Canis lupus familiaris: one gene and its partners. The protein of the gene in region 3 purifies or fractionates together with the protein of the main gene of each other region. This does not show direct contact. Links are inferred from orthologs where the notes say so. Each region holds a gene or a part of one and is shown on either strand. Other genes may lie near its edges.

Region 1 (4,232 bases), on a different chromosome or scaffold from region 3:
TAGTAGAATTTTGTGCGCTGTCTGTGGGATGGAAAATGATGCAGCTGTTGTAGAAAACATTATGGTAGTCCTTAAAAAATTAAATACAGAACTGCTATATGATACCGCAATCCTACTTCAGGGGCATATACCTTAAAGACCTGACTGCGATTATCTCAAACAGGTAACTGTACCCTTATATTCATAGCAGTATTATTCACATTCACAATAGCCAGAGGGTGGAACCAACCCAAGTGTCCATCAAAGGATCAATATATAAAGAAAACATGTATGTACAATATTATTCAGCCTTAAAAAGGAAGGAAGTACTGACACCTGCTCCGACCTAGGTGAACCTCGAGGGCATTTTGCTAAGTGGAATAAGCCAGCCACATAGGATTCCCCTCATATGAAGTCCTGAGAGCAGGAGAGCAGTCCAGTTCAAAGACAGAAAGTGGAACGATGGTTGCCAAGGACTGGGGGAGGGGAGGATTGGGCAGTTAGTGTTTAATGGATGTAGAGTTTCGGTTTTGCAAGACAGGAAAGTTCTAGAGATGAGCGGTGGTGGATGCACAACAACCTAAGTGAACTTAATGCCATGAAGCTTGTACACTTAAAGACGGTGAAGATGGTAAGTTTCATACTGTGTATATTTCATCACAGTAACAACACCTGACTCCCCCCACACAGCTGGGCCCAACCCTCAGAGCTTCTTCGTGTTTGTATTTTTTTTAAGATTCATGTATTTATTTATTCATGAGACACACAGGGAGAGGCAGAGACCTAGGCCGAGGGAGAGGCAGGCTCCCTGCGGGGGCCCCGGGGCGGGGCTCAATCCCTGGGCCAGCGCATCACAACCGGAGTCACCACTGGGCCCCGCGCTCCCCGAGCCCCCAACCCCGGGCTTCTGGTTCCTCGGGTCCCCGCTCCCCGCCTCGGCTGGAGGTGACCGCCCGTCGGGCCGCGGCGCCCCCAGTCCTTCGCGCGTCCTCCGGCGCCCGCTGGGGTGCGAGGCCCGCAGGGGGCGGGGCCGCGGCGGGGGCGGGCGGCGGGCCTCGGGCCTCGGGCGGTCGGCAGGGGGCGCCGGCGCGCCGTCCCCCGTCCCCGTCCCCGTCCCCGTCCCCCGCCGTCCCCGCCGCCCCGGGCCGCCCACCCCGCGGGCGCGCCTCCCCGCAGTCCAGCGCCGCCCGGCCGGGACCGCTCGCTCGGGGCGCGCAGACCTCGCGGCCGCAGCGTGGACGCCGCCCGCCGCCGCCGCCCCCGCCGCCCCCGCCGCCCGTCCCCCGCTCGGCCCCGCCGCCCGCGCTCGCCTGCCGTCCCGGGCCCGCGCCGCTGCCCGCCAGCCTCGGAGCGCAGCCCGCCCCGGGAGCCTCCCGGCCGTCGGCGACCCGCGGCCCCGCGCCCTCGCGCTCGGCGCCCGGCCCGGGGACAGCGAGGGCGGCGGCCGGCGGGGATGGGGGGCCCGGCGGCGCGGAGGGGCGCCGGGGGGCTCCGCGCGCTGCTGCTGGCGCTGGTGGCCGCGGGGACGCCCGCCGACGCCTACAGCCTCGACCCGCAGCGCCCGGTGCGCTTCCAGGGCCCCGCCGGCTCCTTCTTCGGCTACGCGGTGCTGGAGCACGTCCACGACCACACGCGCTGGTGAGTGCCCCGCGGGCCGGGGTCCTGGGTCCGGGGTCCTGGGTCCTGGGTCCTGGGTCCGGGGTCCGGGGTCCTGGGTCCGGGGTCCTGGGTCCTGGGTCCGGGGTCCGGGGTCCCGCCGGAGCCCAGCTCTCCCCGCGCCCCGCCCGCAGGCTTGGCTGCTCCGTCCGAGGCCCCGAGCCAGCAGCCCCGCCGCTCCGGGCGCAGGCTCCTCGGCCGCGGGAGCTCCGGGCGACGCCGCCTGCCCCAGGCCACTCTGCTGCGTGGTGCCGGGCGAGGCTCAGCCCCCGGGGCGCGTGTGTAGGGAGGCGGGGACCCAAGGCAGTGTCTGGGAGCCCGCGGGGCACCCTGCGGCCCAGAGGCCCCCTCCCTCCTTGCCGGGCCTCCGGGGAAGCAAGCTGCGAGGGTCCAGGATGCTGGGTGGGACGGCGGCCCTGGACCCTAAGTCACAAGGCTGGTGGGTGACTTCTGGGGCAGCCTGGGCCTCCTTTCCCACGGGCCATCGGACCTGGAGACAAGCACCTGAGGTTTTAGAAGAGGGATGTGGTTCTCTAGAGGTCAAGGAGTCTAGTTTGCTCCTCGAGAGTCCCAGAGGGTAGGAACCTGCCTCCATTAAGTGCCAGCAGCTAACAGGCACAGAGCGTGACTGCCCAGCCCCTGCGGAGTGCCACGGAGATGAGGTTGGTTCCTCCTTGACCCCTTCCCCAGGCACGTGGAAACCCCACAGCACACAAGGGTCACCTCTTCATCAGAGAGTTAGACCACAGACAGTTCTCCTATTCAAGGTCATGGCCCAGTGGGCCCTGGGTGACAGGCAAGTCTGGAGTTGGTTTTATTGTGTGGGCACCAGTGTGAGTATCCTTTGGGGATGCAGGTTAGGAAGGTGAGGTCAGGAATGTGTGCTCTCCACATGCAGCTCTGTGAGACCGTCACTGCTCTGAATTGGACAGAAGCTGATCAAAAAGGGTGCGTTTGGGGGATCCCTGGGTGGCTCAGCAGTTTGGCGCCTGCCTTTGGCCCAGGGCGCAATCCTGGAGTCCCGGGATCGAGTCCCACGTCAGGCTCCCAGCATGGAGCCTGCTTCTCCCTCCTCCTGTGTCTCTGCCTCTCTCTCTCTCTCTCTATGTCTATCATAAATAAATAAATAAATCTAGAAAAAAAATCTTGAAAAAGGGTGCGTTTGGGGACACCTGGGTGGCTCAGCAGTTGAGCGTCTGCCTTCAGCTCAGGACGTGATCCTGGAGTCCGGGATCGAGTCCCAAGTCAGGCTCCCTGCATGGAGCCTGCTTCTCCCTCTGCCTGTATCTTTCTCTGCCTCTCTCTCTCTCTGCATCTATCATGAATAAATAAATAAAATCTTTTTTTAAAGGTGGGTTTGTAGGTCTGAGCATTCCTGGGAAAGGGTGACTCCATGACCGGCCAGCGTGTTCACAATCATATTGTTTAGGAGAACTGCCTCCAAGAGGACCAGTTTTTAAAGTCCTTTGTGGCCCCTGTCCAGTCCTGCATCTCCTTCTCTACAGTTTACTCCAGTTGCTGAGTGTAAGGCTAGATTATCTTTTTCTGCATTGCCAAATCCCCCTTTTTTAAATTTATTTTTTCAAATCCCCCTTTTAAAGCCAAGCAGGCCTTTTCCATGTCCCGCATGTCCAGAGTCCACTGTGGGCTTTGGATTTGGTAGAGAATACAACAGGAGCAGTTGGAGAACGCATCCCGGAACCCCACGCTGGGCTCTTGGACTGTGTGGCCTTGGCACAAAGTATGTGGAGCCAACGGTCAGGAATTGAAGGGCTTCTCTGGGCAGGGGGCTCTCGAGGAAAGGCAGGCAGATGCTCAACCACTGAGCAACCCAGGAGTCCCTTTATCATAGTTTTGCTATGTCCTTGATGTCTGTCCTCTTGCTGCTTTTTCCCAGCATTTTCCTCCCTAGCCTTTTCTCTCCTCTCCCTTCCCTCCAATATTCTTTGTCTTAGACCTTGAATGTTATTCTCAGCTGATTCTGCTGTCCAGACTTTGTCAACTGTGGCTCTTGAAGCAATAGACTTCCAGCCACGCCTCCTTTCTCTTTCTTTTCTCTGGAAACTAGACTCCCCATGAGGCCAAGGAAACTTCTACCAAAGCCCCCTCACTCACATGGGCCCCCACCAAGACCCTGTGCCTAAATTTATTTTATTTTATTTTTTTTAAGATAGATTTATTTATTTATTTATTTATTTATTTATTTATTTATTTATTTATCTATGATAGACATAGAGAGAGAGAGAGAGAGAGAGAGAGAGAGAGAGGCAGAGACACAGGAGGAGGGAGAAGCAGACTCCATGCCGGGAGCCCGACGCGGGACTCGATCCCGGGACTCCAGGACCGCGCCCTGGGCCAAAGGCAGGCGCTAAGCCGCTGAGCCACTCAGGGATCCCCTAAATTTATAGTCCTAACTTTGTCTGAAAGGTAGTCACCCTAAATTTACGAGATCCAGGCTCTGTGGAATCTGGATCTACCCAATGTCTCTAAACGTTTAGCTCTGGGGTTGGTTGAGTGACTTAGCGACTGATTGCTGGTCTCTTCCTACTGGGCAGTCCCTGGGCCCTGGGCCACTAGAGATGCAGACTCCTCAAAAC
Region 2 (4,256 bases), on a different chromosome or scaffold from region 3:
GAGACCAGACCCCTACATGACTTCATAGCCACTTCGGATACTCTTCACGAGGCAGCAGGCGAAGACAATTCCCAGTACCTAAAAGCAAAGAGGAGTCAGAAAGGCAAAGTATCCCAGGCCCACTCAGGAGACCCCAAACACAACCAGGGGCCCCAGGTTCCCCAGGCCAGGACTTCCCTAGCACCCTCCTCCCACTGCCCCAATTGCCCAGATGCCCCAGAATGAGTCCCAAGGGGGCCTCTCACCTCCACGAAGGCAATGCCCAGGGCCGCTGCAGCCACCACCAGCACATTGCTTCTCAGCCAGCCCCCAATCTTCTCCACGCAGCCCTGAAGGACGGTGGGCACACAAGCGAGAACGGAGTCAGAAACTTCCCACCCACCTCCTCTGCTCCATCTGGCTCTCCCCCGCTCTGCACCGTTCACCGCACTGCTAACGTTCCCAGATGCCCTCCGCATCCCAGGGCCCCAACCCTCTCCACCTCCATCCCTGGGCCCTCTCAACCCTAGAAACCTTTCCCAAGTTTTCCCAGTCCCCTGCTATCTCAGCTGCTTCCCCACCTCAGAGTAGATATTCTTCACATTGAAAGAAATCCCACAGTCCTTCGTGACATTGATGCAGCAGGAGTCAGGGACCTGGCCCTTGGGCATGAGAGAGACGGTCTGCCAGTCTGTGTAGTTAGCGGCCCCGCAGCACTTAAACTGCAGGACGAGAGAAATACAGGGCAGGGGCTTGTTACCTAAACCTCCGCCTTCGACACGGAGATGAGACTCTTCCTCCCCGCTAGCCGCTCCCAGCAAGCTCACTCACATCCTCCTGCATCCTGTCCAGGATCGAAGCCGTGTGGTTGTTTTTCTGATAATTCTTCATCTGCTCCCGGAAGTCCTTATTAAACTCTGACATCACCTGGGAGCAGGAAAGAGCATCGTGGGGGTCAGACTTTAGGGCACGCGCGTCCCAGAGCAGCCAGCCCTGTGAGGCAGGGCCCTCTGCTTCCTCCCCGCTTACCTTGTCTCTAAACACATAGCCAGCGATGGCTGCGGCCACCTCCACCAGCATGATAAGGGACAGGAAGATGGCAAACTGCGGGCACAGCGGACAGGGGTCAGGTGTGGAGTCCCGGTGAGAGTGGCCTGCTGTGGCCCAGCCAGCCTCTAGCCCACTCAGAGAGGTTCTCCTCCCCCACCTGCCTCGCTTCGCCCCTGGATCCCCCTCTCCCTAGAAGCCCCTCCCAGCAGGCCCAGGCACCCACAGCGGCCCCACACCCGGCTCACCGTGATCATAAGACAGTAGTTCTCCTTGCAGGCCCCACAGCAGCCCACAAAGGCCACCAGGAAGAGGAAGGCGCCCACTGCGATGATGACCACGGGCAACAGGGAGCCAGGCGTGGCCCCCTGGACAATGGTCTGACTCAGGACCAGCTGGGCCCCTACACCCACGGCGATGAGCCCCACCGCACAGGCCTGTGAGGACAGGTCAGGGTTAGGCCGGGCCCACCAGCCATCAGGCCTCCGCGCAGGGGGCAGCAGGTACGCCCAAGCACAGACGTAGCCCCACCCAGGGAGACGGATTCGCGCGCCTCCAGGAAGGATTGCAGGGAAGGAGGACAACCCGTATCTGCCCCCACAGTTTGATCAAATGCCAACAGAGAAGTTCCCAGAAAGCCCTGACCCCAGGGCATGTATCCTCACCTAGAGTGGTACTTCCTCGGGGCCTCTAGGGCGCCCAGGCGCGCCCCAGCCGCAGCCTCCCGGCCTGCCCTACCCTCATCAGTTGTGACGGGGCTTCCTCAGGCCACAAGGCCGGGGGCGGAGGGGACAAGAAGCAGAGGCACGAGTGGGGCCCCTCCCCGGACAAAGAGCAGCGTGTGAGGCCGGGAGGCCAGGACGGGAGCAAACCGAGGTGGGCAGAGGCCTTTCCCACCCCCGGCAGCCGACAGGAGCCCGGGGAAGCAGGGAACGAGGGGGTGAGGGGCAGGGCAGGCGGGGTGCGGGGGAGAGGGGGCCCCGCGGCGATAGCCATCAGGCGGCCGTTGGCCGGTTGCCCCACTGCCCTATCACAGCGGTTGGGTCACCGGACAGGAAGGGCCAGAAGGGGCGAGGGGGAGGGTGCGGCGCGCCCACGCCGTCCGTCCTGGGTCCGCACCGCCTCGGAGGTCCCCGAAAGCTGCGGCGGTGGGCGCGCTGCGGCCCCCGGCTCTTCCTCCCGCGTCCGGGCCCCAGGGCCCCCTTCGCACTCACGCAGAAGGCCAGCAGCAGGACGTAGAGCAGGAACTTGACACACTTCATTCCTCCTTCCACCGCCATGGCTGCAGGCCTGCGGGGGGCGCCGGTGAGGGGCGTCGGGGCCCCCGGTCCCGGCCCCTCCCACCCGGAAACCCGCGGTCGGGGCCACGTCCCCAGCCCCCTCTCCTCCTGGGCCCGAGAGCGGCGGGGGCGACCGCCGCCCTCCCGCCCGGCCCCGCCCCGGCCCCAGGGCGCCCTCCCGGCCGCAGCCCGTCCCCGCCCCGGGCCCCCGCCCCCGGCCCCGCGCTCCCGGCTCCCCACGCACGGTCGCCGCCGCCGGGGCCTCCGGAACTTCGCGAAGTTGCAAAGTGGCGAGGGCTCGGGAGTGCGGCGGGCCCTGGGCTCCGGGCCGAGCCGCGGCGGGGGCGGCCGCCCGCGACCCCGGACCCCGGACCCCGCCCGCACGCAGGCCGGGCCCGCGGCCTCACCTGGGCTCCCCGACGCTGCGCTCCGCTCTCCCGCCGCCGCCGCCGCCGCCGCCCCGGGCTCTTTAGCGGCGCCCCCCGCCTGCGCCCCGCCCGCCCGCCGCGGCCCCGCCCCGGCTCCAGCCCCGGCCCCCCCTCCGCCCGGGCCGCCGGCCTCCCTCGTGACGCGGGAACAGCTGCGGCTTGAGTCACCCGGCCGCCGAGGGGAGGGCCGAGCCCCCCGCCCGCCAGGGCCACGTGGCCCCTGCCCGGAAGGCGCCCCCCCGCGACGGAAGGCGGCGGGGCTGGGCCGCGGGGCCCGGGGCCCCTGGGCTGGGAGGGCGGGGCCGGCGGCCCCCGACTCCGTGCGGTCCGGACCCGGGTTACGCTGCGAGCCGCCGGGCCGGGCCGCGCGACGGGAGGTGCTCGGGAGGCGCCCCCATCCCCGGCCCGGCTCCCGGCCCCGCTCCCGGCCCCGCTCCGGCCCGGCTGAAGCCCCCGCCCCGCGTCGGCAGAGGGCGCTGCGAGCTCCCTGGCGTCGGGTGCAGGCGGTCGGGAAAAAGCTTCCAGAAAGTCCCTGGCCTCACATCCCGGGAGTCCCCCAACCTTTGCAGCGGGCGCCTCGCCTGTGGGTGCCTCGCCTGTGGGTGCCGGCCCGGCCTCCGGGCTGCGGGGGGGTGGGGGGTGCTGAGCACCGCAGGAGGCCCTCGGAGCCTGCGCCCCCCTCTAGGGGCGGTTGACGCCTCTGTGCCCCCGGCGCGCCGGGCTCGGCCGCGGTCTGGGGAGGCTGCGCAGGCAGGCCTCTGCCTTCTGCAAGTGCCCGTCCCGGCCTCGCGGGCAGCAGCTCGCAGCCCCGGCTGGGGAAGGGGCGGGGGCGGCGTCCGGGGGCGGCCTCCAGCTGCCCCCCAGCTATCCCCTCCAGCTGCCCCCCCCAGCTGCTCCCTCCAGCTGCTCCCCCAGCTGCCTCCTCCAGCTGCCCCCTCCAGCTGCCCCGTCCATCTGTGTCCTCCAGCTGCGGCCTCCAGCTACAGCCTCCAGCTGCCCCCACAGCTGCCCCCCCCCAGCTGCCCCACGTCCAGCTGCCCCCCAGCTGCCCCTCCACCGCGCCGTGGCTCCCAGGCCGGACGTGACCCCGAGAATCCGCGCTCCGCGGCCGGGTCCCACCCCGTCGGGTCTTAGGTCCTGACTCAACCGCTTCCCGAGTCTTCTGTACCCGAAGAGGCAAGAAACTGCAAGAGCAAAAGGCAAGCGATGGGGGCCACAGCCTTGGAGCGAGCTGAGCAAGCGCGTTGGGGGCCTGGCTCCTCGCTCCCACGGGCAGGCCGCGAGGAGCCGAGGAGCCACGTCGACTCCCGGGGAACCGAGAGGGCTCGGCCTGGGCCCCGCAGCCCGGGAGCCGGACCCCCGTGTGACACCCGCGGCCTCCCGGTGGCGGGTGGACGCTCTCGGCGGTGGCGGGCGGTGCATCTGCCCCAGAGGAGAAGGAAACCCCTTTGCACCACGAAAGTGGGTGGCAGTCCCTGAGGGGACTTCAGAGGATAAACAAGCTCTGGGTTCAGAGACAAGG
Region 3 (4,073 bases):
CATTTATAGATACTGCTTCCATTTCAGGATCCTGAAGACTAAGGCACTCTTCCTTACTGTTATCCCTGTCAATCCATCCCCCTTCCCCAAGACTCCCACTATGACAACAAAAAAGAACAAAACCCCCACAATATATGACCAAAGTTAGAACAGACCCACTAATACCACAAGACATATTTTCATATTTGCACAGTATAATCCTCTAGGATTCTACCCCAACCTGATACATCCTAACTTTCCATGCAGAGTGAGGAAATCTAAAATTTAACAAGAGTCCATATAAGTCCTTAGATACATTCAAGCTTTTATACATTCAGAAACTGAAAATCTCAGAAGTCAGAAGTTCTGCAACTTTGAACCGGCAAAAGATGTTTCATCTCATCATTCCAGCAGTGTAGTTAAGAACAGACCAGTGTACCAACCGAATATCAAAGAAAAATATTTTCCTGAGGTAGAGTGTTATACTACCCCACCCCCATATCGTAAGCCGCAATTTATTTGACAAGAAGCCAAACAATAAAGCTATTATGTGGCAAGTATTCCGTTAAAACTGGCACATTAAACTGATTAATTCTGCCTATTACAAAATGACCAGACGTCCCCAGAGAAGCTCCTGGAGTTAGGAGTTTATTGATAACCATGCAGAACTGCATATTCATTCAGTGATGGAAATTTGGGCCAGATTTTAATTATATTGACCAGAGAGTTAAGAAAAAAACCACCTAATTGTTAAAATCACTAAACCTAGCAATTTTCAATATTGTTGATTCTATATTTTTTCACGTACAGACTGTTGAGGGTATTATAAAATAGTAATATAAAATAATCATAATGGAGAATTCAGCATTCTTTTAAAGAGACTCAACATTACAAAAACTAAATTTTAAGTCTGTGAAGTCAACACAGATACCTTCATTTGGAATTTATTTGCTTTCTATTTACAAAAGTATTAACCACATCCCCTGTCTTTTTAGCTAACATTCTAATAACATCTTCCATTTTATGAATTTTCAAATAAATAAATGGCTTTTTCCCCAGAGCCCTGTCCCCAACAGACCTGTCCCTCTGTTTCCTATGTATCACTTCATTATCTTAAGCCACTCATTTAATATTGATCAATGAACTAAAATTATTTAAAAATATGAACACTGTAGTGAACTCTTAATTACCATCCCCTGTGGGTGTAGATGTTCACAGATGTAGACTAGGTTAACTTCCACCTGAAATTCCTTAATCATTTCTAAAAGTGGTCTATTAATATAACTAAAGGCTGTATGCCCTTTCGGAAAAATGCCTAACCAACATTTATTTCACATTATTTTTATACCATCAAAACAACCAAAAATAACAGCATAGCGGATCAATTACGTCCTGAGATTTTTTTTTAAATCTTTTTCATATATCAAGAAGAGACAGAAAGGAGTCCTATGCATTTAGCATCTACTGTAAGCTGTTTTACATATTACATCTGATATTCACAACTCTATGGTCTTTATGGAACCTGTTACTTGAACCTGTGATTCAAACATGGGCTCTGGTGCTAGACCCCATGGGTTCTTCACTCACTAGGCTGGATGATCAGAGGCAAATTACTTAGGCCTCCTGTGCCTCAGTTTCTTCACTAGTAAAATGAGTATAAAAACTGCACCTACCTCATTGTATTGGTTCCAGGATAAACACAGGTAAAGTGCGTAGAGCTAACCACGGCCCGCACTGTCCTTACTAGAATAGCTGCTTTTATTATTAGTGTAGGTATTCTTGTTCCCATTTTACGGGTGAGGAAATGGAAGCCCCAAGAGGGTAATTTACTAGTGTTAGTTTTTGACTAAAAAGTACAAATTCGATGAAATAAAAATGACTTAGGCATAAAATATTGGTAGTAACTACAACTTGTTAGGAAGCCCAAGAATTGAGGCGCAGTAAGAGGCCGGGCCCCAGGGCAGGTGGGCACTGGCTCCTGCAGAGCCGCGGGAGCCCCTGGCCGGCCCCCTGCTGAGGGACCCCCCACTCGGCGCGGCCCTCACACACCCCAAGTCGCCAAGCCCGCGCCTTCCCCGGCTCCCGACGCCCGCCTCTCTTTGGGCCCGGCCCGCAGTTAGCCCCGGCAGCAGGCCCTGAAGGCTGCGGCCCGACTTCTGCAAGCGGGAAGCGCGCTACTACGCTCCAGGCCGCTCGGGGGAGAGCGGCCCCGACGGGACCGGGAACAAAGGGAAGCCGCAAGGGCTCGCTCCAAGCCCCGGGGCCTCGGGCCGCGGGCGGCCCCGCTCGCCCCTCCCCGCACGCGGAACCCGGGCCCAGGCGGCCCACGAGGCAGGCCGGCTCGCTCCGCGCGCTCGGGGCCCCCCACCGCGGCGGGACAGCGCCCAGGCCCGCGACCCCCACTCGCGAGGCGGCGGGACGAGCTCCGGGCCTCGGCGGGCGCAGCCGGCCCGGCCCCCGGCCCCCGGCCCCCGGCCCCCGCCCCGGCCCCGGCCCCCGCCCCGGCCCCGGGGCAGCGTTTCGTCCCGCAGCCCCGCCACCGCGCCCGCCGCCCCGCCCCCGCCCCCGCCCCACGCAGGCCCGGCCGCGGCGCCCCGGCCCGCGCCGCCCGCCACACGCACACACGCGCACACGCGCACACGCACACACGCGCGCACACACGGCGCCACCTTCTCCGGGGCGTCCGGGCCGCGGTCGGCTGGGGCCTGCAGCTCCGGGACTCCGGGACTCGGCTCGGCCTCTCCCGACGGCTAGCGCGGCCTCCCGGCTCTCGGGCGCGGCGGCGGCGGCGGCTCCTCCTCCTCGGGGGCGGGGGCAGGAGACTCGGCCGCCCGGAGCCGCCTCCCGGCAGGAAACGACCCCCGCGGCACCGCCTCTTCGGCCCCGCCGCTCCTGCTCCTCCGGCCGCCGCGGCCGCTCCTGCTCCCCTCCCTCCGGAAACGCATTCCTGCCGGGCGGCGTCAGCTCGCCTGAGGCGGGGAGGGGAGGAGGACGCCGGAGGAGCGCGGAGGGAGGGCGGGCGGGCGGGAGAGGAGGAGGGGCGGGGGAGACGGAGGGGAGGACCGGCAGAGGGAGCAGGAGGAGGAGACGAGGGGAGGACCGGCAGAGGGAGCAGGATCCGGAGGACCGGGAGCAGGAGGAGGGGAGGACGCGCAGGGGAGCAGGATCCCGAGGACCGGAGCAGGAGGAGGGGAGGAGGAGACGAGGGGAGGACCGGCAGAGGGAGCAGGATCCGGAGGACCGGGAGCAGGAGGAGGGGAGGACGCGCAGGGGAGCAGGATCCCGAGGACCGGAGCAGGAGGAGGGGAGGAGGAGACGAGGGGAGGACCGGCAGAGGGAGCAGGATCCCGAGGACCGGGAGCAGGAGGAGGGGAGGACGCGCAGGGGAGCAGGATCCGGAGGACGGGGAGCAGGAGGAGGGGAGGAGGAGACGAGGGGAGGACCGGCAGAGGGAGCAGGATCCCGAGGACCGGGAGCAGGAGGAGGGGAGGACGCGCAGGGGAGCAGGATCCCAAGGACGGGGGAGCACGGGAGCAGGGGGACCAGGAGGAGGGGGCCAGAAAGCCGAGGCCAGGCCCAAGGAGCAGGGTGGGAGCTGGCCTGGGACTGGGCCTTCGCTGTGCCTCAGTTTCCGCTCCCGCCGACCGACCGACCGAGGGAGGTGCGTGGGGGGGGGGGGGGGGCGTCGGGAGCCTGGGGCTGAACACCTGCTGGGCCTTGCGGTCCACTGCCCCAGAGCCACACCCAGTGGTCCCGTCAGCCCAGGATCTCCTTCAGTCCCAGGCACATCCAGAGGATCACCCACCCTCTGGGGCTTCCAGGGGCCCAAACTTTAACTTCTAGGGAATTAGCTAAAGCCACTACTGTTGACTGGAGTGGATAGTTGGCTTGACTTGGCTGTATGAGGTGGTGAAGACAGGAAGGCGGTCAATGCCAAGAAAGATGGATTTTTAGGAAAGTTTTAGAGAAAAGAAAAACTGGTAAGTTAGGGATCTCCTTTTGTTAGATTAATCTGGAGGCCCATTTATGGGGAACATGGTTAAGAGGTAAAATTGGTTAAGACCTAAAATTGCATCCATAAAAATATGGTGTTA

What was found.
Region 1: the proteins of ITGB1 (region 3) and ITGA9 purify together in Homo sapiens (affinity purification with mass spectrometry; 3 studies listed by BioGRID and IntAct, counting the BioPlex papers as one, with this or other methods). This does not show direct contact. The link is inferred for Canis lupus familiaris from reciprocal best matches to the Homo sapiens genes ITGB1 and ITGA9.
Region 2: the proteins of ITGB1 (region 3) and CD63 purify together in Homo sapiens (affinity purification with western blotting; 3 studies listed by BioGRID and IntAct, with this or other methods). This does not show direct contact. The link is inferred for Canis lupus familiaris from reciprocal best matches to the Homo sapiens genes ITGB1 and CD63.

What each region holds. Positions count from the first base shown.
Region 1 is NC_049244.1:7,516,936-7,521,167, forward strand, and holds the start of ITGA9 (integrin alpha-9), read left to right. Parts: upstream 1-1,432; coding exon 1,433-1,617; intron 1,618-4,232. UniProt on the Homo sapiens protein: Integrin alpha-9/beta-1 (ITGA9:ITGB1) is a receptor for VCAM1, cytotactin and osteopontin. It recognizes the sequence A-E-I-D-G-I-E-L in cytotactin. ITGA9:ITGB1 may play a crucial role in SVEP1/polydom-mediated myoblast cell adhesion.
Region 2 is NC_049231.1:478,431-482,686, forward strand, and holds the start of CD63 (CD63 antigen), read right to left. Parts: upstream 2,801-4,256; 5' UTR 2,714-2,800; intron 2,317-2,713; 5' UTR 2,307-2,316; coding exon 2,241-2,306; intron 1,464-2,240; coding exon 1,275-1,463; intron 1,084-1,274; coding exon 1,009-1,083; intron 907-1,008; coding exon 811-906; intron 702-810; coding exon 561-701; intron 330-560; coding exon 246-329; intron 79-245; coding exon 13-78; 3' UTR 1-12. UniProt on the Homo sapiens protein: Functions as a cell surface receptor for TIMP1 and plays a role in the activation of cellular signaling cascades. Plays a role in the activation of ITGB1 and integrin signaling, leading to the activation of AKT, FAK/PTK2 and MAP kinases.
Region 3 is NC_049223.1:3,937,811-3,941,883, reverse strand, and holds the start of ITGB1 (integrin beta-1), read right to left. Parts: upstream 2,807-4,073; 5' UTR 2,649-2,806; intron 1-2,648.